6 separate regions of the Mus musculus genome follow, and regions 2, 3, 4, 5 and 6 are each reported to be linked to region 1. The links are microRNA targets in miRTarBase. Many come from high-throughput screens and were not tested one by one. Region 1 holds a microRNA gene; each other region holds the end of a gene's coding sequence.
Evidence for each region. Region 1 holds the annotated microRNA mmu-miR-26a-5p (UUCAAGUAAUCCAGGAUAGGCU, at 1,060-1,081, shown strand). A microRNA usually pairs through its seed, bases 2 to 8, with sites in the 3' UTR of a target mRNA and lowers its output. Matches are read on the target gene's strand: a 7mer-m8 pairs with bases 2 to 8, a 7mer-A1 pairs with bases 2 to 7 and ends in A, and an 8mer does both.

Region 1 (4,088 bases):
GCCAGGGGTTGCTGGGAATTGAACCCAGCTCCTCAATGAAGAGCATATGCTGTCCAGCCCATGCAGTCCATGCTTAGACCAGGCGAGCCTTGCTCTGTGTGCAGGGCTGTTAGGATTTGCTCCTGTGCCCTCTGGTGAAGAGCTACTGAATGTGTCTTCCCTGGCCCAGGCCCCTCCTATGACACCTTTCTGACCTCTACACTGGTTTCTGTAAGTGCTCCATATGCATCTGTCAGAGTGGCAGAGTCCAGGCTCTGCCGTGTACACCCTGCTGCCTAGGGTTAAGGACCACGAGGCATTGGTGAGAGACCATGTGCCCAGAGGCATGCTGGTCGGCCCAGGGGAGGGCCGGAGACAGTGATGCAGACATCCTAGCAAGCATGAGACCTGTTTTCAGACTGAGAAAGTTCAGCTTGAGACTGTCCTGGGTTTGTCATCGTAGCCCTCTGCCCCTTTACGAACTTCTGTACAGAGCCTCGAAGCTGTGGCTCTTTACTCCACCCATCACCCCCTGCTGTCTAGTTGAGGAAATAGAAATGTACAGAATGTATGGGGCTCTGGCATGGGCAGAAGGGGCCTGAGTGAGAGGGCTGCCTGCCATGTGGATCTGAGGAGAGCCTGGGAGGAGAGCAATGCTTGGTGAGGAAGGGGCTTGTTTGTGAGGCTTAAGAAGTGGAAGGTGATGGATAGATCCATTTGCAGCTGCATGGAGGGTTCTGCTGCTAAATGGGAGGGCTCTGCTCAGTTGGTGCTGATGTGGGCTAGGAGGGACTGGGGTGGGCACACCCCCTGTGCTGCTTTAAGGAAGTGAGTGAGTGGGCCTAAGGAACACTTGTGCAGGCTGAAGTAAGAAAGAAAGAAGAAGCAGCAGATCATAGACTGGGTGGCGAGTTAGTTGAAGAACCTTTAAAAGCGAGCAAGTCCTCGAAGCTGGTGGTGTGCACACAAACCTACGAGGGTGTGTGTTTGAAGAAGTTTGTGGTTCTTGCCAGATGGGACCTACACAAGCCGTCCTGCTGGAATCCCGTACAGAAGGCTACTGTGGAGGCTGCGGCTGGATTCAAGTAATCCAGGATAGGCTGTGTCCGTCCATGAGGCCTGTTCTTGATTACTTGTTTCTGGAGGCAGCGCATGGTCTGCCCTCAATGAAGATGGCTCCTGGGAGTGCATTCCTTCCTGCCGGGTTAGGGTTGGGCCTGTTGAGGCAGCAGAAGCCTGGTAACATGGTAGAGCTGTCCATGGTGGGGCAGAGGTCTCAGTGTCTCGACCTGGGTATCTAGGCCTGCTTGCTTTTCTGTCAGTGCACAGGCAGAGCCGGTGCTGTGTCCTTGGCCTTGTGGGGTTCCTACAGCAATCCACTCTGTCTCCCAGGTATATGTGCTCAAGAGGCCTTACGTCGATGAGTTCCTGAGACGGATGGGGGAGCTCTTCGAATGTGTTCTCTTCACTGCCAGCTTGGCCAAGGTACCTGACTGCAGGAGGGGCAGAAGGCAGGGGAGAGCCAGCCCTCAGCCTAGGCTAAAGCTTCTCCTTCTTTTCCAGTATGCTGACCCTGTGACTGATCTCCTGGACCGGTGCGGGGTGTTCCGGGCCCGCCTGTTCCGAGAGGCTTGTGTGTTCCACCAGGGCTGCTATGTCAAGGACCTCAGCCGCCTGGGAAGGGACCTGAGGAAAACTGTCATCCTGGACAACTCCCCTGCATCTTACATCTTCCACCCAGAAAATGCAGTGAGTGCTCGCATCAGGGACTGGGGTGGCTGCAGGCTGGGCCCGTGGGCTTTATCAGAGGAGTCCACAACCCCTGTGTGGCCCAGCAGCCTCCAATGGCACTGGAAAGGAAAGGAAATATCAGATAATGTCACTTTTTCCTGCCCCAGGTGCCTGTGCAGTCCTGGTTTGATGACATGGCAGATACAGAGTTGCTGAACCTGATTCCAGTCTTCGAGGAGCTAAGTGGAACTGATGATGTCTACACCAGCCTTGGGCAGCTGCGGGCCCCTTAGCCTTCCTGCTCCAAGAAACGGCCATCCCAACAGGGGACTCTGCTACACTGTGCCTTTGTGGTCAGCCTCACTGACGGGGTCTGCAAGTAGCCAGGGCGTGTGGGACAAAAGCAGGTCACACGCAGAGCAGGAAATCAGACCAAGACCCAGAGCTCTCTGCACCCCGTGCTCAGTTCCCAGGTGGTTGTGTGGGTGTGTGTGCGTGCATGTGCCCGTCCGGTAAACTATGGTCCTGGGTGCCCAGTTGTGCAGTAGGGGGAGAAGCTGAAAGATAAGGACTCAACCCAAGTCATTTGTCTTCTTTCCTGCTATGCTGTGAGCTACTGAGCTTTACAGCCATGAAAACTATTGTAGGCTCCCTCGCCAAACCATGGCTTTCCCTCAGCATCAAGACCTGTGCCAAGGAGAAGGGAGAGGCCGGAGGCTGCTTTGGATGCCCAGACACACATCTTTCAGAAAACACAGAAACCTAGCCAGCAGCTGCAGACATGTTTGGGAATATGAGAGCATGTTCGCAGACCCACCAGGTTCTGTGTCCTATGGGCTACACCTGGCTCCAGCAAGAATGCCTGCCATGGGCACTTCTCTGTACCCGGGCTCCAGTGCCAGGCCAGCCTCTCACTCCCAAGCCATAGTCCTACTCCCATGGGAAAGGAGGTCTTCTCTCTGCCCTGGAGGAGGACATATAGCTGATTTCTGTTCTTTTAACTCTTAAAAATCTCTTTCTAAACTTGGAGTGGTTTATATTCGCCCGAGCTCCAGTCCTGGGCCTGAGGTTTGTGTGGGAAGCGCTGGGGTACAAAGAAAATGCAAATGTTCAATGCAAGATGTCTGTCTCCTTGCGTGTAGATCCCAAAAGTGCTCTTCAGGGGTTCTGTGCTAGCTGATGCAAGGACATTAGCTCCAAAGGCTGGGGAGGGCTTGGCTCTCCCTCTGTGTCTTCCTGGTGTCCCGCCCTGGCCAGCTCTCGTCTGCTCTCGCCTTTATCCTTCTCGGCTGCTGCTCTTCCTCTCCAGAGCCTTGGGAGAAGGACTTTCCCCGGTTGTACTTAATTGATTGGTTGTCCCAAGTGTTGCTCTTACTTGATTTGCCAAATGCCTCCTGCTTCTCGTTATAGGACTGAGTGAGGTCCTCATAGCTCTGTGCTCTGGGCAGCTCTGAGCTCTCAGCCCTGTTGCTTTCAATGTCAGTCACAGAGTGGAAGTTTCCCCAAAGTGGAAAGCTACCATTGGGAACACAAGGGGCCCCTGAGGGGCCTCCACCTCACTGCCTTAAGTGAGTCCCGCCCACTCCCTGCCTCCCTCCGAGGTGGGCGGGAGTTCCTACCCCATCTCTGCTTCCCCTGGAGGCCGGCCAGCGTTTGTGGGTTGGTTCAGGTGTGGTACCTCCCACTCAGGAGTCAATATTTTCAAATTTTTCTAGTTTCCACACACGAGGTCCTGCCTGGGGTTTGAGAAAGCCTGGTGGAGGAGTGTGGTGGTGTGAGTGGAGACTGGCTGGCATTCCTCCAGCACTCTGCAGACTTCTTCCTGGGCCCGAGGCTATGGAGCCTTGGCTTTCACTTCTGTGACAAACACATGCCATTTCCCCAGCCTCATTTGCTGGTGTCTGTAGGGTCCTCCCAAGGTGAGCTGAGGGCTGCAGGTGCTAGCCAGGAACATGGGAGCTTGACTGTGGCTTCAGGTCCAGACCCTGATCTCACTGGCATCCCAATACTGCAGGAGGGGTCTTCTCACAAAGCTCTGAGGGCTGGTCTTGACTAAGCAATAAGAGCCTCAGAGTTGATTGAATTTTAAGGTCCCTTTCTGGCTTCTTGGTTCTCCATGTGACCAAAGCCCAGTGTGGCTTCATGGGAGCCCTGTTACTTCTCCATGAAACCCCAGCTCTCTAGGCCTGACTGCCACCAGAGTCCTCTTACCACCTGCAGTCTGCCACAAAGATGCCATATCAACTCCTCTCTTCCCAAAACTAAACAGGATCTATCATGGTGGCACGGAGTCAGCTAGATGTTGTCTCTTGCTATCCCTGTGCTAGTTCCATGTTTTAGAAGCAAAGTGATACTGGGGAGGAGAGGAGGGCAAGTGA
Region 2 (4,088 bases), not on the chromosome of region 1:
GGCTTCAGCTAAACTAAGGAACAAATGATATCTATACTTAGGTGAATAAAACAAGCTCACTTGTTGCTTGACAACAGCACACAAAGGAAAAGTTATTTTCTCCAATGGAGTCTCCCTGAGTACACAAACCACTCAAGGGCAGGCCCCACGCGCAGCAGGAGATGGGCAACTCAAAATAAACGCAATGGTACTTTGGGGGGTTTTGTTTTTTTGGGTTTTGCTTTGTCTGTTTCCTGATGTTTTGGCCATTTCTCTCCTTGCTGGTCTTTTACTTCTATATTTTAGTTAGTGATTTTGTGCTTTAATGGGTTTTCTGGGTGCCTGCTCCTGTGTGCCCGCTCCCTGCTCGCGAGTGCATGCGTGTGTGTGTGTGTGTATTTGTGTGTGCTTTTACTTTTCTGTCTTGCTCTATCCTGTGCTCTGCTTTTGTTTTTATTTTTCCTGTTTGCTTTCTAAAGATTGAGATAAAGAGGCTCAGAGTTCCACAGAGAGGGAGGATCTAGGAAATAAGGGAGAAGTTACCAGAATGTTATATATTAAAAAAAAAAAACTATGTTCAATTAAAAAAAAAAAGAATTTACACTTACTAACACACAACTCATTTTAAGGCAACAGAGTTGTCTGCTAAACTCTAATGGGCTTCGATGCTCAGGATGCAATACACAAAGGGACAAATGTTTCCTGTCCCTGCACAATGCTCTATATCTGGACGCCTCTTATTAAATACATTTGTGACTGCAAGCTTGACACACATGACAACATGGCTTGAGGAGGTCACGGCCAACAGGTCCATATTTAAAACAAAAGCAGCAAGACCATTTTAGTGAAAACTACTTTTATTTTAAAATCAAGTGCACAGCACTCATCTAACCCTGCTGTGTAGACTTAGCACCATACTCACTGTTTGTAGTTAGTCATAGCACAGATATTTGGTTTGCGTTTTTGTACTTGAATAGTGTTTATTAGTGGACTCTGGTTAAGTCCTTTACACACATCATTAATCTCTTCACAGTACACATTTAATGATGGTCCAGTAATCTCAAAACAAAACAGAAAAAAAAAAACCTCTTAAGACTAATTAATAAATTAAACAAAACAACCCCCCGCCCCCCTCCCCAGCTAACTGTTGTTGAGTTGCATTATATACTGAATTCTCCTGTTTTTAAAAATAATCATGATTCTCCAGCCTCCCCATCCGGGTATGCAGCAATAGTCATCAATTATTTGACTCTACCCCCAAGAAGGATTAATCCAGTGTTCTTTAGCTTTTTAAATATAAACTGGAAAGTGTTAATAAGCTTCTTTAAAAAGGCAAGTATTCTTTGACAACAAGAATGACACATAACCAATCAATAAAAGCACTGACAAGACATTAAATCACCACAGGCACTGGCTGTTGTTTCAAGTTAGGATTCTCTCCCAATCTCTTACATTCATAGCATTACTGAGGTAGTTACAATACTCAACACTGGACTCCATGCTGCAGGCCTCTATCTGTGAACGGGAAAGAGACATTATCTTTTGAACCCACTTCCTCCTCCTAATTCAAGTTTTCTTAAGAATTATAAAAATCCAATTAGCAGCCTTTTTAAAGAGGAAAAGTGATACGTTCCTACAACAGTTTTCATGCTTGAAAACTGCCACAAGTGTTCTTACCTGAGTGGTTTTCATCACCAGGCCTTCTGTACGCTAAATATAAAAGTTAGCTTCCTTTTAAGGAAAGCACATTTCCGGAAGAACTCCTGTTGGCAGAAGCTGCCCACGGGCACTTCTCCTCCGGAGCTGCCTGTCAGTCCATCAGGCTGTGGAGCCCTTCCGTCCCTTCCCAGCAAAGGCCACCGACTCCTGCTGCATACCCACATCTTTACAGCGAGCTCTCGCCAATAGACACTGTGTCTCATAGCTGCCACAGTTTCCCTTCTATTCAAGTGCTATCTTATAAAATCAAACACGCCTTACTCATTTTAAACCAGAAAGTGTCCCCCCCACCAGCTCCTTCCTCCTGCATGGATAAGACTACTATGCTTACAGTTCATCAGCCATCTTTTTACTTCTGAAGTCTGTCCTCCATACTTCCTGACAGTATTTTATGGCCAGGTTGCCCCGGGTATGACTATTACTGCTGCTTTCACTCACTATCAATACAAAGACTTGTCTCCCGGCAGGTACACAGCCAACCACAGAAAGTGGCTACTAAGATCAGCACTCCTGCTTGCCTGACTTGCTGGATCCCAAGGGCACTCACTGAACCACCCTCCCATAACAAAGTGCTGCGTCAGCCCACGCTGAGCACTACCCGAGCCATCCTGAACCCAAGAACAATCCTACCTGACTCGACTCTAGCACTGACACTTCATAGAATGCCTTCTCCTGAAAACTGCCTTCAGGAGCAACAGCCAATCACTGGGTGATGCCCAGCCTGTCCGTGCACGAACACAGGACCCACTGCATTCGTCCTGTGCCGTGATCGATTCTCATCCCAGCAGGAGCACTGCAGCCGATGTTGCACGGGTAGCTCATATTCTAATACTCCCAAGGCATGTCGGTTAGAGCCAAGTGTTTCCAAGTGCTACAAGGTCCCTGAGTTAAACGTGCTTAACCCTGAAGAACTGGGGCTGATCACTTAGTGGGAAAAGGCAGCAGAGCAAAACCAAAATTATGACCATGATTTCAAGGTATGGATCTGCTTCGCCCCTAATTGCAGTATATAAATCCAGCACCTGTATTTATGATATGAAGTTATATAAAAATCATCTGGATTTTTTTAACTGCACAGATTAGTATACGTAGCAACTGGTGAGTTTGAATTTAGAAACCTACCAGTAGGTCAAAAAAAAAAAAAAAAAAAAGAAAGAAACCAAAAAAAACCTCTGAGCTGCAAGATTAAAACAATTCTTCAAAAATTAATACTGCAACTTCCTTCATAAAAGATGGTTTGGCAAGTCCACAGATAAACACTAAGTCTTTGACATATATGTCAGCATAAGGCCAAAGCCCATAACAGGTCAAATCTTAGAATGGCAAATTTTCTGCTGTATTGAGCATCTTGAAATATTTGGACCATCAGTCAGGAACTGGGACATTTCTGTCACACAGGATTTGACACGTCAGTACCTGCAGAGCCCTCCTAAGCACTCATGGTACTGAAAGGGGTACTGGTACTCAGTCTTCCGGTGCCTCGGCCCGTTGCATTGATGTACTGATTGTATTCTTTCCTTCTGAAGAGGAAGACAAAAGGCTTGCTCCAGAGCTAACCACCTCAGAACAGTCTGTGGCCTGCATACATACGTCATCACCTCTCAAAGCATGGGGTAATACACGGGAAATGTTCGTTTATCTGGTAACTCCGGTTATAAGAAACACTGAGGCAGGGTTTAACTTCTACTGGTATTGCCAGGGACATCCCAACACCAGTCTGCATGTGGCCAAGGCCCTGAACGCTCGTTTGGAAGCCCGCGGGACAAGTCTGTAGCGTGTAAGACGAGGTGTGTGTGGTAGACACAATCTGCTGACGGCTGGGCTGTTCTGACACAGGATGCCGGTACTGCAGGGAGCTCTGATGGAGATACTGAGGCTGCTGGAAGTGAACCGGCCGGGAGGGCTGCGCTGTCTGGAACACAGTCAGCTGTGTCGACTGGGGAGCTGACTGTCCCCTCTGCTTGTTTGCTTCTTTCACGTCGTTATCGTGAGCACTGAGACAAAAGAAAGGGAAGAGTAACACCATTCGGGCAGGATGCAGCGAAGCCCGCTTCCCGCCTCTGCCACTGCTCACTCCAAGAACCACCACTGCTGCCACCTAGGTCACTGTCATTTCAACAAGTGACACCTTCCTTGTACCTTTCTCAAGTGTTCATCTTGGTATGAACAGTGCTGGTGGCTTTGAGGACTCTTTACAACTAGGAATTTGAGGTCACATCCTGGCAACCCTTAAATTCAGTGGTATGGAGAAGGGAATGGAGTAAGATCAGCCTGGACCGCTCCTTGTCCCGCCAAGTACTGAGGGTCGTACCAGTAACAGGATCACAGGCAAAGAATGCTCCTTGGCTACGGAGCACGATTGTTCACAGCAGTGGCAACTGACAGAACTA
Region 3 (4,088 bases), not on the chromosome of region 1:
CTTATATTTGAGGTCATGGGAAGGCTATTTTGGACTAGAAGAACTATAGACGGGGCTGACTAGCTTTGCCTGGTCTGACCCCAGAGGACAGCTCCTTAAGCCTGTCCGAGTTTAAGTTTCCTATATTTCACCCTTTTGAAGCATCAAGTCCTCTAAAAAGGTGAGGGGTTTTTTGTTTGGTTTATTTGTTTGTTTTTTAAACATGACTTGTAAGGGAGTATTTAGTGGCAAGCGCTGGGTACAGAGCATGCACTGGGACTGCCTATAAGACATCAGGGCATTCATTTCTTAACTGTTGCTATTACAAAGAGTTCTTATAACAAAACAATGTGTTTTTAAGAAGCCTAATTTACCAATTTGATATTTTGTTTCAATATTTAGGATTGTTTGGATAGATTCGACGATTTACACGCACCCACAGTTAAATGTCCTAAAAAATCAAAATCAGGAGCAAGACTTTTAGGCAAGAGTCCAGAAGATTCCCATAATCAGGCAAAACACTGTGCACGACCATACACTGCTCCAGAGCCTAACAAACGACGAGAAAGTGCCGCCTGGAAATTTGCAAGTCCTCGGATGGTTTCAGCGGGCTTACTTCACTTATATGTCACCCCAGCGTATGGAATCCGTAAAGTGCGGTCCAAAAGGAAATTAAAAGAGGATATTGAAAAGCGTCCGCTCATTAGTGAGATTATCCAGATGCTAGACAATGCAGAATGATATGTAATGCCACCAGTCAGAATATAATTTCTCCATTAACAAAATGGTTTGGAGATCTATCCTTGTGTGATAGAAGTCAGCAACTAAATTTCATCTTGTTAGACCATTTTGTTATAATTAAAGTGAAAAATAAACATTCTACAGAAACGTGTTTTTGTTTATAAGCCTTGCAGAACAAACTAAAAAATGTATATTCAGTTGGTGTTCATTAGCATTAGTTTTGCACCCCAGTGCTCCTCTTTTGGGGTGAAGTAGTCTTTAAGTTCCTTAGCATTTGTGGCACTTGGTTATTGCTACCCGCCTAGTTTGCCAGTTCTCCATTTGCATCTGTCTGTGCTTAGCAATGGAACTTAACTTAGCTCTAGTTACATTTCTAGATTCAACAGTCTATAGTTCTCTGAGCTGGTAGAACTTTTGTTCATTTTAATATCATGTACTGCTCTTCCAGGTAGAAAGAATGCAGGGACTACTTTTATTGAATGGTGGGTCCAGGCTAAGAAGCCAAAAGGAACAGCAAGAAAGGCCCAAAGCTAGTAAATACAAGAAGTGCTCCCAGTGTTCCAAAAGACTTCAGAAAAGGAAGAGCCAGCTGCCGCTATGAAGAGCAGAGGCAAGGTCACTGTGAGGCCCATCTCCCTAGCACCACTCAAAACAACAAAAGTGATCCTAGCTGTGCCAGAGGAACAAGGTAGGCACAAGAAATACAGTTGTAGTGAAGCAGAGGAGAGTGAAGAAAAGCACTGGGAGGTAGCAGGCCACTGGTCAATCGTAAGGAAGAAAACCACTGGTCAGGCTTTATTTAGCAAAGACATATTTCCCAGAAGGACATCTCAAATTCCTGTACCCCACTAAGATTTTATGACAACATTGTCACTTGCAAGCAGTATCTCTAAAACATTTCTCCATTGATATCTCTGAAGTTTTCCCTGATCAATTGCTATTATTATCCCTAATAACATTCCCCAAATAATACCCTCCTGCCTGACTTTGAACATGGATTTAGCTTTTTATAGCCACTGTACTCAACCTCAACACTACCTTGGCCTTGATAAAGCCTGATAGCGTTTGGGCTAGAACGGTACCACCAGCACCTGTTTATTAGCTCATCTGGCAGACCTTGAGGCTTGTCAGTCTCCATAATTTCATGAGCCAAGTTGTAACATATCAACAGTAGGAGCTCTGACAGGCAACGTCCATGACACCCCTCCTACCTTTGGCATCTGGCATGTGCAGGACTTTCTCAGATTGGGAGATGCTAAGGCATTGAGTGGGATGAAGTACAACTCCCTCTATGGCAGCTGCTCAGTGCTCCAGTGGACCTGTTGTCTCCTTCCTCTATGGCCCACTCTAATTTCTCTCACCTCCACTTCCCACCTCCGCAGGTCTTGGCGGCTGTGTCGATAGAGAAACTCTAACGTTCATACTTGAGGCAGAGGTATAGCCAACAAACATGAACAGAATTGCTTCTAACTGCCTATTTAGACTGAAGACAATCATTTTACAGTAACTTCCAATCTATATAGTCATATAGATGAAGAAAACCAACTGACATAGACCCCAGTTTATTACAAATTCAATTACAAACCACTTTTAAGACACTATGCTAGTTTGGATGAAAAATGTGCGATATGGTCTCATGTATCTGAACACCTAGTTGGTGTTGGTGATCAGCTCTTCGGCGATGCTCTTTGCCCTACAGGAGGAAGTACGCTGCAGAGGGTGCTCTGAGAGCTTGTAGGCTTGCCCCAGTTCCAGTTCCCCCTCTCTGCTTCCTGTGATGTAGCTGAGATAGGACCTCTTAGCTCTCTGCTCCTGCTGCTTTGCCTTCTCTGTCAGTAAGGACAACTAGCCCTCTGCAACTCTTTTGATTGTGGGATTTTATCATAGCAACAAAAATGTAACTAAAACACAATATCTCCTGCTAGGGACGCAGGGCCATTAACAACAGCATGGGCTTCAAGGTTTACCCCACTACAGAAACAAGCATATAAAAGGCCAACATGCCATTTGTCTCTAGGAGATTGCCTGAAGTTTATACCATGTTATGTAAATTATGTGTAAAAAAGAGATTCTCTCAGCAAACCAAATTAGAATCTGTGTTCTAGTTTTGTTAAGCCACACAAAATATATAAAAGAGATGTTTAATTTTATACATTTTTATTGAGCTCCCACAGGGTGCATGAATTAATGATCTATAATTTACACAGGTAGAAAAGTGTTGTTAGCCCCTTCCCCTTTAAAATGCAAATTGCATCTTCTCTTTATAGTTCAAGTGAATTATTTAATGTGAGCAAGGCTCAGTTTGATGTTGCCATATGTAAAAGGAATAGTACAAACATTTTCCCTTCTCCAAAAAAGGGCTTTATACCAGAATAAACCAGCCTGTTCATCTACCAATAGCTGATCAAAAAGGCTAGTGAATCTGGAAGAGAAGATGCTCTGGAAGCAGTGTCCTCCGAGGAAGGGTTCATTCCCCAGAGAACAGTAAAATGTAGAAGAGAATTAACTAGCTCAAAAGTTACACTGAGATCCAGAAAGTACCAGTCACAGCTTAAAAGGTGGAAAAGAAGCGGGGGATGTGCGGAAGGGCGGGCGAGCGGACACTAGCTGAGCTGGGCAGTAACTGACGAGGAAGTCGTGCGGGTGCTCTGATCTGGGCAGAGAGGGTAAATCCACGCCCCATGAACAGAGTGGTTTAACTGATCGATTCTCCAGTGCACCAACTGTATTTTCAAGTATAGATTTGTCATTTGTACCTAACAGGACCGAAGACAAGCAGCAAGGAGAGGCTGTCAAGTATAGAGGACATGAAATGATTTGGCAACCCTAGAATTCCCACACTGGGTCTTTGTCATCAGGAAACTGGAATTCCAGCTCGCTCCACGGCGACACTGGCTGCAGTGACGCTGATGGCCTGTTATAAGCAGGTGGCAACAGGGGAAGTATGGAATCCTGGCTTTCTTCTTTCATCTGTTAAAGAAACTTAAAATAGTGACATGGGCACAGAGACTCAACACAAATTTTATAAGCAATAAATAACTTTTAAAGAAATTTTAAAACTTTAAAATTATTTTTAGGTCTTTTCCTTTTAAATGCTTCTAGTTCTGACAATCGAGAAAACCAAAGACTTAAAAGCTAAATAAACTAATTTTAAGCAGAATTATTCTGCCCTGCCATTATTTCTAGGTAAGACAGACACCAGTTTTAAGTTAATGAAAATATAGTGTGTGTAACATATGTTATTTTTACTGCTTTGTTTTTGAAGAATAAAAATCTTTTAAATATTCTATATATAATTAAGGCCACTAGATGGCTCACCAGGCAAAGGTGCCAAGGGTGTTTTACACCGGTACTTGAAAATCTAAGCT
Region 4 (4,088 bases), not on the chromosome of region 1:
TCTGTTTTTCTTCACATTACTAGGCTATAATGTAGGACATAATGTTTAATTTAAAAAAGAAAAACCTAGGGGCTGGAGAGATGGCTCAACAGTTAAAAGCACTGACTGCTCTTCCAGAGGTCCTGAGTTCAATTCCCAGCACCCACATGGTGGCTCACAACCATCTGTAATGGGATCTGTTGCCCTCTTCTGGTGTGTCTGCAGATAGCTACAGTGTATTCATATACATAAAATAAATAAATAAATCTTTTTTTTTTTTAAAGGAAAAAGAAAAAGAAAAACCTAGAGGCGTATATTCTAGAAAGCAGAACATTTGTTCTCAGGGAAAGGATGCGGCTCAGTGTGTGTGTGTGGGTGGGGGAGGGGGGAGGGGGGACCACGCAGGAGGCATTGAAAAGTGCTGACTTTCCCGCCTGAGCTAAATCCCAGCTCTGGTGATAGGGGCTGTAAAGCCATCCTTCCTACATGTTAACCAAGCCGCTTTTCCATAGGAACACTCTGGACGTGTGTTTCGGCTGCAGTTTGATGAGTTTCAGATCATCAGCAGCTCCCATGATGACACTATTTTGATTTGGGATTTCTTAAATGTGCCTCCCAGTGCCCAGAATGAGACCCGCTCTCCCTCCAGAACCTACACCTATATCTCCAGATAGCAGCCTGCACTTTGGCCCAATCTGGTGAGTGTGCTCAAACTCCAGCCCTGCCTGGGCTCTTCAAGACCTCGCTCACTTCTGGACTTTGCCTTCCCTCTGGGAATTAGGAAACTGAGGTTCCTTAGTGATGTGAATGAAAGCATCTACCAGACTAGCAGGTAAGGTCTCAATAGGCTCCCAACAGAGCCCTGCACATCGTGGGCTCTCTCGTCGTCATTGACAGGTAGTGATGTCTGTGGTTGCTGTTTTTAAAAAACTGGTTACCTAAATGAGTTCCTTCATGATCATAGCCATTTAACACCAGGATAGTTTTTCAGGTTTGATTTTTGGATTGCAGAAATCAACCTTTTTACCTGGTCTTTCAGTTCTGTGGCTGACAGACAGACAGGCAGATGGGTGTAGTCATGCCCATGCATGCGCGCACACAGGACCATCCAAAATTCCTCTTCCCATCACCAAGTCCACTCTGCTTTACCATCTCCACAAGGAGCTATCACTTAATTATGCTGTGCATTCTTCATGGTGAGGCGTGACAGGTGCTTCAGAATGCAAATCCTCCGCTCTAGTTACAGAGCCGCTGTCATACTGTTGGTGACAGATTGTTTTGCTCACCAAGATGCTGTTTTAGATAGAAAGAGAGAAGCCCGATTTGCCCAATCCCAGATATCCATGACTACTGGGAACAATATTCCTACCTGGAAGATTTGCCGGGATCCATTAGATTCTGCGCACATCCCGCTTTGTCCACTTCATAAATACCCTTACTTCTGTGACTGTTTAAAGATTTGTGATTAAATTCTCTTAGTTAAAAAGCATTGCTTAGCCGGGTGTGGTGCGCATGCCTTTAATCCCAGCACTCAGGAGGCAGAGGCAGGTGGATTTCTGAGTTCGAGGCCAGCCTAGTCTACAAGGAGAGTTCCAGGACAGCCAGGGCTACACAGAGAAACCCTGTCTCAAAAAAAAAAAGCATTGCTTAATTCTTTATAGCTTTTTATTATGTACTTTCTAGCTTACTAAAGAGTAAGCTAGGTGGTGCTGGCACACCCCTTTAATCTGTTTCAGATATTTTTTAGTCTAGATTCTGAGTCCCATAAATGACTCTCAAGAAGTTTACCTTGCTCGGGCTTAACACACTGTAGCCAAGCATTGAATTTGACCCACTGTATGCTTTGTTTTTCTGCCAGTGCAGGCCAAAAGTAGATCTTACACTTTAAACACTTGAAAAATATTTTAAAAATTCATGCCATATAAAAACTCTGTGATATTAAAATTCCAACCTCCATAAAATCCGTGTGATTGGAGCTTACCTTGCTCATTTGTCACATGTCACTGTGGCATAGTTGAGGAGCTGGGACTCACACATGTCAGCCACTTCCTGTGCAGTGCTTTAAGGGTCTGGTGCGCATCAGGAACGGTCGCTCTGTGCTGCTGCGAACATCTGGGTTTCATTAGTAGTGACAGGTGAGGGCTCCCTTTAGAGTGGCTGTGGACCCCAAAGGACTGCAGGGCAGGGTGGGCTGGTGACATCTGCTGTGGGGGGTTAGAGGGGGAGGCCATCAGAAGGTTTACTGCTCCTGGCCTTCCATTGTCCACACCATCTCTGCCTACACAGTCATCTCCCCACTACTTTCTCTTGGAAGAACTTTTGTAAGTCCATTGACAAACCCACCTGGTAGTAGTCATTGAGTGATGTCTTCAGAGCACATGACTCTAGAGGTTTACAGAGGCAGAAGACACAGAGCTCCTCACCAGGCATAGTCAGAAAAGTGTAATGACACGGGGAAGGGATGGAGGAGGAGGTCTGACACCCCACTCTACCCCCGTCTTCCCCTTTCCTTCTTGAACCTGCCCTCTGTGACCCTTCCATGTCTTGTCTAGTTAAATAATGTCATTCTCCTTTCTTCTTCAGGGTTTCCTGGTCTTGAACTACTGGCTATATGGCTATCACATGCCTAAGGGAGTTCGTTCACAGCTGAGTTTGGGGCTGGACTGGTTCCAGATGCTGGGTAGATACAGAGCAGCCCCACCCCTCAAGCCCTGACATTCTCACTGCACCCCAGCTCTACTTGGAGAAGGACTCCTTAGCTCTCCACTGCAAGTAGAGCAGCAGCTCATGTCCCTCCCTTCAGTGAAGACCCCAGCGCTTCCCATGCACACGTTCCCACGAAGGACACAGCAAGGACTGTCAGGAGAAGCCCTGCTTCTAACTTATGTCGTCGCTTTGCGCCTTGGTTTGGTACTAAAAGCAGCCTTGCATTCTCGGTGAAGTGCTGGGTGCCAAACGACTACACAGCGTCTTCAGGGCTTTCCTCTCCAGCAGCAGCTTCTCCTTAGACCGTCAGTCACAGTCACCGTCGCTCTGACGTGCATAGGAATGTGTCGGACAATGGGCAGATCTGGATTATCTTAGTATTTTTGGATTACACTTTCTTTCTGTTTGTTTCTTTTAATTTAAAGAATAAGTGGGCTATATTACCTCTGCACAGGTGATATAGCTATTTTCTTTTATTAACTGTTCTCTGTTCTTCCTCATCTTCTGATATTTGGTAGAGTAACACCTTTATCCGAGTGCTTGCCTCCTAATTTAAAATACTGTATCCGCATGTAGATAGAGTGTACATAACAGTCCAAGCTCAAGGGTGCTGGCCGGCCCCCTGCACCTGAGACACTACTGTGGAGATTGTCACACCTACTCCAGGGTTGCTGTGCTGGCCTAGAGCCTCCTTCAGTATTCACTTGGGTTTTAGTTGTCACTGTCTTTGTGTGTGCTGTGTGTTTTCAGACAGAACTTGAGAAGTCTCCCATGTTTATTTGTTGTGTGGCATCTGCAGTGGGCAGGTATCTTCACAGTCTCCACATTGCTGTTCTTTTCCTCACGCTTACCCCTAGAGCTAGTGCTCACCTCCTTGGGGTGATCATTAGCTTCTCTGTCCAACATCCTACCACACGGCAGTGACCCTGAGATGGAGATGGCGGCCAGTGGACAGGGCTCCTGGCTCTGGGCTCCCTGTACTCGGATGGGTGTTGGGGGCTATAGAGTTAGAGCCTGTGGAGCAGGTCAGCTGGCCAGAGCCCACATTAGGGACAAGGCACTCCTCTGTGTGTGGGGCACAGCCTCAGGCCCTGTCAGCTCTGCTGTCACTCATCACTGTGAGAGTGGCACCCAGGCAGGACATTGGTGACATTATTTCCCTCTTTCAAAATTAGGTTTTGATTTCCCCTTGCCATTGTTTCCAAAGATGAAGGAATGTTAGTACGGTTTTAAAGGACCAACCAGCCCCTCCCAGTGAATGAAGCCTCTTCCCATGGAAGCACACTCTAGGAGAGAGAAGGCCTCTGGGCTCCACCTGGCCTGGCATTATGAATGCAGTGGGGTCAGTGTGTGGTGGATGTGTGTACTGGGTTGGCTTTCCTTTTTAGTTTTTTTACTTTTTA
Region 5 (4,088 bases), not on the chromosome of region 1:
GGTATGTAAACTACATGCATTACCATGCTGGAATCAAGAGTTCAGGTGTGTAAGCTGAAGCACACACTTTAACTTTCTCATACAGATCTTCAAAACAGGAGAAAACCTGTCCTTACCGAGTCCTACGGTGAAAACTAGACAAGAAACACAAGCAGACACAAAATGCTTGGCATAGGGCGTCACATGCACCACACAGTCTAATGTGAGGCTGGGAAGAGCTCAGAGGTAAAGGAGGCCCTGGGGGGTGGGGGCAGTGAACCTATTTCCTTAAAATAGCTAGTATTAAAAAGGTGTTGCCGGGTATGGTGGCGCACGCCTTTAATCCCAGCACTCTGGAGGCAGAAGCAGGCGGATTTCTGAGTTCGAGGCCAGCCTGGTCTACAGAGTGAGTTCCAGGACAGCCAGAGATACACAGAGAAACCCTGTCTCGAAAAAAAAAAAAAAAGGTATCAAGCTGGGCAGGGTATTACATGGCTGTAATTCCAACTGCTCACGAGGCAGAAGAATTGAACTGGAGGTTAGCCCGAGATAGCAAGACCTCCATCTAACAAGAGATTGACCAAACTATCAAACTCATTAATGAGGAAAATGAAGTTCAGGGAATCAGAGGCTAAAGAACTTTCTTTTGTTGTTGTTCTTGCTTGTTTTTAAAAAGGGTCTCCCTATGTAGCTCAGACTGACTTCAAACTTGCCACATAGACTAGGCTGGTCAGAACTTCGGACCTGTTTGGTTTTGCCTCCTGGATTAAAGGTGTGCACAACCATGTATGACTTAAAGGAATTTCTCAAAAACAGCAGAAAAGGGATTTGAGGTCAGGAACATCCTAAGAACCCAAGGCACGCGTCCTTACACAGCCACGTGTTTCAGGCTCTATCTTTATGAAGATACATATCCTAACTTCCTTTCAAAAAACAGGACAAGATAACAAAGTTTGTTTATAGAATTAGCATTCAACATTTATTTAAGTCTCTATAGTACTGTAAGAACCCTTTATACAGGATAATGTATGCTGATGGCAACTTGCCCTCCTCCTACCATATGCACACGATCAAGAACAGCACAAAGTTTCAATGCAAAATGATATAGTACACATTTTTACTTATTAAAGTTTATTATCTTCATAATTACAACAGTAATTTATAAGTTTGAAACATGAGAGAACATCTATGAAGAGAGCACAGATAAAGCTGAACAAGTACATAAAAGGAAGATGGTTAAAACTCTGTCTTTGTTTCAAGCGCAGGCTTTGGAGCCAGGGTCAACACCATAAAACATCACAAATGGCTCTTAAGACATTCATTCTATACACTCAAGCATGGAGATATAGATATGTTTATGTCATATTACATACTTTAGTATGATATTGGCCCACTGAGCACACACATCTTAACAAAGGATAAGAACCTCTATGACCCAGCTAAGCGCACAGAAGATTAGGGCACACTTACTACACATCAAAAGTTGCTGTTTATAAGTTATAGATATTTAATATTTCCAGAGTGTTTTTTATTAAAAAAAATTAAAGCATTTCAAACATTTTTCACTTTTCTCAGTGCAAACGAAGGTTATTCAAGTCAACTTACCTTTCTCCTGAGGAGTGAGAGGAAGGGGCAAACAGGAACACCACCCAACCTGACCTGCTCATCACCCTTTGCAGCAAGCACTTAGGCCACGGAATTAGTTATCACAATTAAAGCCTTGTGATTACGATTCAGCCCTTACTTCATGTTTTAACTTTTATGCTGAAATATTTATTTACAAAAGTAGAAAAAAGTTAGCAGTGCAAGAAAGTGGTTGAAGTTTGTTTTAAATCCCAGCTATCCAATAGTATGTGGAAAAGAAAAAAAAGCACCATTTCAAAATGGTCTGATTAGACACTAGAATTTACTTATAGGCCAGGCAGTAAATTACTCTAACAACAGTTCAATACCACCTTAACTTGGCTATCCTAAAGAATTTTAAATAGTTTGTAGGTGCATTTTTGTTTATCTTGGTATTACAAACACTAAATTAGTAACTCTTATCTAAAAAATTACAAATTATAGTTTACTTCAAATCCATTTAAAATCCAGCTGTCTGTCAGGCCAGTTCAGCAGAAGATGGGCTTTTAACAAAAGTAGGGCTCTGATAATTTGGCAACTTGGTTTATTTTTCTCTCAATTTAAAAACTAGGATTTTTTTGGGGGTGGGGTAGCTTGTCAATTTTATTGGTGAGACAAATAAAGCAAATAAAGAAATTTAAACTACAAAGATGGACAGAAAGTAAGAGGATATAACAAATGTTATTTCTTCCATTTGTATCACTGCAAATAGCTGGGCCTTCACTAAAGAAACAAAACACATAATGAATACCAAAGTACCTTCCAATTCTAGCTTCCTAGACTTCAGGTCACTTATGAACTACGGTCAGTGCAGCCACAAAGGCAAAATGGGTACAGGCTAAGTGTTTGCTTAAACGGATAGGTTATATTTTAAGTTACAAATTTTCCTCACTAGCACTTAAAATGAACATATCCTTACAAATTTTATTTGTAAGAAATTGGTTTGTTTGTTTTTAACTAGGAAACATGTCGTGAGGTATCTGTTAATCGTAAAATTCTTTAAGTCCAGAGAAAATTGTTCTAAAAACATGTTTCATATACAAGGCTTTAATACTTTTATTTAGGAATTACTTGCGGCTGGAGCAATAATGGTTTAACTTATCCAGTTTTCAATAGTGGAGTAGATCTATGCAGAATATTTTCCCCTGTCTCTAAGTAACTTAACTATATTTTCTCCAGAAGTACATATAATGCACTTTAAACTGACTAATTTGTACCGATCAGAAGAAACAGGATACTCTTTCCCTCCCCCTCCTTCAAGCACTCAGCTCAGGGAGAATACTTGCACACTTTCAGAACTCCAGTCGTTGTCATAGTAACTACAGGACAAGGGTAGCACAGCGCAAAACTACATCTGCTAGGTTCCAGAAGGCAGAGGCTTGATGCTCTAGCTTTACAGGGGCTAGTGCAAGCAGGCAAGAGCTCACTATAAATGCACACCAGAACAGGGGTCTAGGCAAAGCCGTTTAATTAGGGTACTGCTTTTGGAAGAAAAAATAAAAGACACATTTGAAATAGCACCCCCCCCCAAAAAAAAAAAAAAAAACAAACTAGACTTTTGTCACATTTCTAGGAATCTCAAACCTTTTGTATCCCATGCTCATAGGTAGTTTGATGCACATGGTAAATAGCTTCAGTGTTCCAGAGAGCACTGTACTGCTGACAAAGGACAGATAACTCTTCATGCTTCTGAGATCTCAGATTTGCTAAGTGCAATGGCCAGTTCCAAGTCTTCTTGCTCCTGCTGATTTAGTCTGGCAAGCCTCTGTTCTTCTTCCCGCTCACTTTCCCTTTTTGCCCATTCAATCATATCTTCTTCAGAGGGATACTGCCATTTAAAAGATCCAAAGAATGAAGGAATTAAAAAATAAGCTAAGACATACAAAAGACCTTTTATAAAAGAGTGCTAACTACTTGTTTTACCTAAAGGAATAGTACTAATTCCTTGTTTTTCTGAAAATGTATTTTAACTACTTACTGAGCTCTGGTTTACTTTAAAATTTTAACACAATCTATGGGAAAATAAGTCTATAAAAATATAATAAGGCCTATAAAGTACGCCATTAAAATCATCACCTTAAAAAGTAGCAATTCCAGGCATGGTGGCATATGCTTGCAGTCCCAGAACATAGGGGACTGAGGAAGAAGGAAGCCAATCTGGGACACAGTGATATTTTCTCTAAACAGGTTAAATGCTTAGGATAGAATAGGATATTTAAAAACAGGAGTGGTCTAATCTTTCACTTCACCATAAAATCCTCCCTTCTGGATTTATTTTATTTTATTTTATTTTATTTTATTTTATTTTATTTTATTTGAGATGGACTATCACTAGGTGGCTTATGTTGGCCTCAAACTCATGATCCTGCTGCCTGTGTCCTAGGTTGTGGGATTACAACCATATGGCAGCATGCCTGATTGACATATCATTAAAATTAATGCCACTGGTGATAGCCGCTTTACCTGGCCTCTCAGGAAACCCCAAA
Region 6 (4,088 bases), not on the chromosome of region 1:
CTCAAAGGAAGTTAATTTGAATTCTTTTAAACTTGAGAAAGCAGATATATCTGACAGCATCATTGGTGAAGCAATCTTTAAAAAAAAGACGTTTGCTTCAAAGTAAAGTAGTCTGTTTCAGAAATGTCTCCAGCTGAACCTTTCCATGCTGGAGGTGACAGACAGTGGATAGAGAATGAAATGACGGGTGAGGCTGTGTCTCGGGAGAGAAGAGGAGAGGAGGCTCGGGCTGGAGGCAACAGAATCAGGACTTGGAGATAACAGAGAACAGGACAGATAGAAAACTCCCCCCTTACCCCTTTATTTTGCACCTTATTACCCATTAACTCCAGTTTTTCTCCTTGAGGTTTAGAGAACAGGCAGTTCGTATTTAGTTGTTGAAGGAGTCATAGTAAAAATATTTCATAACAAACTCTACACTAGTATGAAAATGCAGAGCTAGCTGTTTTCAAAGGCTTTTCATCTCTCTAATAGGTCGCACAGGAAGACGATGTGAGAGCCTGGACTCTCTTGGAGAAGTTTTGAAGAAAACACTGAGACTCCCAGGTGGCCACAGAAGCCTCTTTCAGGCTATGCAATCTGTATCAAGTCGCAAGTAGGTCAAATGCTAGAAAAATATAGCCCTTAATATACGCACCAAGTCCCCCCTGCGTAGGATCCTCCCCCCAAGTGAATGAGTGCTTTGATTTTTTTTTAGCAATTGAAATTTTCCTGTGTCCAGCAGGGTGGAGTCGAGTGAAGAACACCGCTCTCCCATGCTGTGGTCAATCATGTGGAGCCTTTAATGTCACGGACATTGTGTCTGGCAGTTAGGACCAGACCATCTTCAGCACATCCTCCTGGCTGGAACCTTCTGCCAGGGAACGGAGCGATACTCCAGACTTTCCAGCTCTCCTTCCGCCTCCCCCAGAGCAGCAGGATTCTTACTGGTGTTGTCTAGCCATACATTTTTTGCTTGATACAATTTGGACTACTATGCTAATACGGAATGTTATTTTTTTTGTTTGTTTCTTTGTTTGTTTTTTTTCCCAGTTTAGATGGAGAACTGAGTTCAAATAGTCAAGGAGGCAGGGTTTCGTTATTGCAAGAATTTAAAAGTTCATTCTTCAAATATTATAATCCTAGGCAGGTCCTTTAGCTTACGGCTCTCTGTAACTTAAAGAGGAAGACTGTCTCCTCCTCCTCCCCTGCAGCTGAACTTTCCTATGTCAGGATAAAGCCACTATAAATTTATAAAGAGCAGGTACGGAACCTTAGCAACCACCCCTGTTTCCTGAATACTTCAATTTTCCTAATCTGCATCATTGTGAGAAATAGCATTAACCAGTAAGAAGCATGGAGGGTCATGCTATCACCACACTGGATAAATAAAGTCTCCCACCAGGTCACCATGTCTGCTGACTGTGAACACTGAATACACCAGACTCCCCATCCTGTATGCTGCCAGGGTAACGTGAGAACCACGTTATACAGGCCTGGTGCTGAGGGAGCCAGTGATGAGTAGGGTAGCTAGAGAAAAACAATGAGAACATGGGAAGAAGCCGGAGACATGCAGGGAACCCATTTTTGCAATCTGTCTCCCCAAGAGGCGTGAGATCCATATACCTAGGCCAGCAGTCCAGTCCTCTTGCAGAGTGTACTAACAGATACACTTGCGAGACTAGTTCTCAGACTTAACTCTCTTACAGAAATGTAGCAGAGTAACCCAAAGAAGTGTGTCACGAGCTACAGGCTCTCATCACGGGCTGGGAATCTGTTGCTCTGTGTTACTGCAGGTGTGGCAGACAGCTGGTCGCTTTAGTCCTTCAGAAGGAATTTCTGCATTTTGTGCTGAGTGGTCATTGGGGGTGAATCCAAGTGCTTTACCACTTGGTTTTAACTCATATCCACGGCAGGAGAATCAGTGTGATCTAGCTTCTTTCCTGAGACTCTGGGGACCCTACCCCAACTCACACCAGTCCTCATGATGTGGCCTTTTCCACACATTTTAGGGAAAGAATTGCATTCCAATTCACACTGAGAGTCACAGAGTATGGAAGGGCTCTGGTGAGACGCGCTGAGCCCTAAACTAGCCTGGCCTTCCTTCCAGGGTTCTCAGTTTGAATCCAGCATGAGTCTCTACAGCTCAAAGAACAGGCTGGTCTCTAAGCACCCTCCCTGAACCTCACTTCTCCATCTCTGGGTCACGTGCTCTTGTGCAAATGACCTTCAAAGCCACAGCCCAGTATGGGCAACACTCAAGCAGAGATTACAAAGCACATCGAGACTCACAGATCTGCTCTGGGTGAGTTACACACAGACGTGAACACACGCGGGCTTGTCCATCAGGCCGAGTGAAAGCAGTCTACTTCAGAAAAACAAGTCTCCCCTTAGTCTCTACCCTTAGTCAAAACCAGCACGGGCTTGACCTGACCCATCAGATGCCAGGCAGACAGACAGACAGACAGACAGACACTGAGGAGGAGATCTTGTGATGTGGTAGGGCATAGAATTTTCTTCTCTAAGAGATACATGATTCATGGGCAAAAAAAATCACCTATCAGCAGCTGGGCCAATCTGGAAACTCTTTTTGTCTTTCCTTTCTTTGGAAAGGTGGACACACAGTTCCTATCAATTTATAGGGGAAAGGGCTGAACACAGTCTCAGAAGCAGGAAAAGCTTTCAGGGAGGGAGGTTCCTTCATTCCTTTTTCCTTTTCCATTGTCTTAATTGTTTTTCCCCTCTAGCAGCTGGCCAGCCAGGTCTCAGCACACACAGGAGCTTGTCCAAATCATTTAGCCACGCACTTAGAACTACCTGTTCCCTGACGGACTTCCATCTCCCTCGGAGCCCAGGCAGAGCTGAGGGAGACGGCCAAGGACAGGCAAAGTAGCTGCTACCCGATCAGTGCAGGCCCCTGGATTCCTTCTCTGCCACAGTACTACATAATAAATAGATTCATATGTCAGGACTCCCAGCATCCCCTCCGTGTGGCTTCCTAAGGGCACTTGCTGACTCTTACCAACACAGGCAGCACTAAGTCAGACATGGGTTAAAGGGGAAAGTGAAAAGGAGAAAGAAGCCCCACAGAGTCACGTGAAAAGGTCCCATGTGGACGTTACTGCTGAATTTGGGAACATAGAAATTCTACCCCGTCGTTGCTTGGCAAGGGTTACTGTTGCTTGGCCCAGGATGTGGCTCGTGGGTGCTGAGATCAGACTTGCCCTTGGCGTTGCTGCCTGGAGACGGTGGTGAACAAATTCTCTGATCAGTTCTGGGCCTTAGCATAATGTTCTACGCACCACCGCCACTGAGAGTTCGTTTCCTGATTGTCGTTTACTCGAGGGACTTAGAAGAGTTTAGCTTTTTTCTTCATGTCGTTGCGTCTCCAAAGAGGTAACTTGTCAAATTCCTGTATGGACATCCCAAAGATCTCCCAAAATACTTCTGGGGCTAAGTGGCGCTGGGAAGAGAGAAGCAAGAGGTTGTTAGTCCTAACGGCCACGCCAATGAACATCAGATGCCTTTTCCAATTTACGAATGTAGCCAGCCTTCCATAGTCCTGGCTTCTGCATCGCCAATCCAATCCATTTAGATAAAAAGTATCCTTCCCAAACTGCCTCTGACTTACACATGTACAGACTGTTTCCCTGGTCATTTTGCCCCAAACAACACGGTTCTGCAAGTATGGACGGCTCCTTTCGGTTCCACTAGGCATCATATGTCATCTAAAGATGGTTTAAAGCATAAGGGAGGGTGTGCAGAGACAATGTATAAAGAACGTATCACTTTCTGCACCTGCAGACTTTGTCGGCTGTTGGGGGGGGCGGTGTCCTGAAATCCATTCCCTGCAGAAACTCAGAGACACTAACATCATCCTGAAGAGCCAGTCAGACTGGGGAGAGAGGCGGCTCTCTCTGGGGCTTGTTTCCTGGGCACAGCCAGGTAGTGTCCTCCACCAGAGGAAACACCTGGCAGACTACTGCCAATGTGGTTCACTGCAGAGCTGGGCTAGTGATCGGGCACAGGAAGGTGACTTGCGGTGCTGGATGTGACAGCATCACTTCAGGTCCTTGAGATGTTGAAAAATGGACCCAAGTGACGGTCAA

Region 2: the mRNA of Ccnj is a reported target of mmu-miR-26a-5p. Seed matches in the 3' UTR shown: 7mer-A1 at 1,924-1,930, 7mer-A1 at 1,545-1,551 and 7mer-A1 at 1,401-1,407.
Region 3: the mRNA of Stradb is a reported target of mmu-miR-26a-5p. Seed matches in the 3' UTR shown: 7mer-m8 at 3,513-3,519, 8mer at 3,451-3,458 and 7mer-A1 at 2,988-2,994.
Region 4: miRTarBase lists Fbxw11 as a target of mmu-miR-26a-5p. The part of its 3' UTR that is shown has no 7-base or 8-base seed match.
Region 5: miRTarBase lists Eps15 as a target of mmu-miR-26a-5p. Seed matches in the 3' UTR shown: 7mer-A1 at 1,570-1,576.
Region 6: the mRNA of Ablim1 is a reported target of mmu-miR-26a-5p. The part of its 3' UTR that is shown has no 7-base or 8-base seed match.

Annotation. Positions count from the first base shown.
Region 1 is chr10:126,994,484-126,998,571 of GRCm38, forward strand. Mir26a-2 (microRNA 26a-2) reads left to right here and starts at 1,047; the gene lies at 1,047-1,130. Ctdsp2 (CTD (carboxy-terminal domain, RNA polymerase II, polypeptide A) small phosphatase 2) reads left to right here. Exons shown (of 8, transcript NM_001113470.1): 6 at 1,372-1,464; 7 at 1,543-1,728; 8 at 1,878-4,088. The coding sequence ends at 2,003. It overlaps Mir546 (microRNA 546), which reads left to right and starts at 3,957; the gene lies at 3,957-4,077.
Region 2 is chr19:40,845,303-40,849,390 of GRCm38, reverse strand. Ccnj (cyclin J) reads right to left here. Exons shown (of 6, transcript NM_172839.4): 6 at 819-3,692. The coding sequence ends at 3,293. Among named protein-coding and RNA genes, the nearest start is that of Ccnj, 16 kb to the right of the region's middle.
Region 3 is chr1:58,993,895-58,997,982 of GRCm38, reverse strand. Stradb (STE20-related kinase adaptor beta) reads right to left here. Exons shown (of 12, transcript NM_172656.6): 12 at 2,861-3,690. The coding sequence ends at 3,547. It overlaps C2cd6 (C2 calcium dependent domain containing 6), which reads left to right. Exons shown (of 19, transcript NM_026600.1): 19 at 382-867. The coding sequence ends at 720. Among named protein-coding and RNA genes, the nearest start is that of Stradb, 22 kb to the right of the region's middle.
Region 4 is chr11:32,741,968-32,746,055 of GRCm38, forward strand. Fbxw11 (F-box and WD-40 domain protein 11) reads left to right here. Exons shown (of 13, transcript NM_001271347.1): 12 at 492-677; 13 at 2,563-4,088. The coding sequence ends at 653. Among named protein-coding and RNA genes, the nearest start is that of Gm35723, 38 kb to the right of the region's middle.
Region 5 is chr4:109,384,661-109,388,748 of GRCm38, reverse strand. Eps15 (epidermal growth factor receptor pathway substrate 15) reads right to left here. Exons shown (of 25, transcript NM_007943.3): 25 at 932-3,430. The coding sequence ends at 3,284. Among named protein-coding and RNA genes, the nearest start is that of Ttc39aos1, 20 kb to the left of the region's middle.
Region 6 is chr19:57,033,896-57,037,983 of GRCm38, forward strand. It overlaps Ablim1 (actin-binding LIM protein 1), which reads right to left. Exons shown (of 26, transcript NM_178688.4): 26 at 1-3,442. The coding sequence ends at 3,329. Among named protein-coding and RNA genes, the nearest start is that of Afap1l2, 27 kb to the left of the region's middle.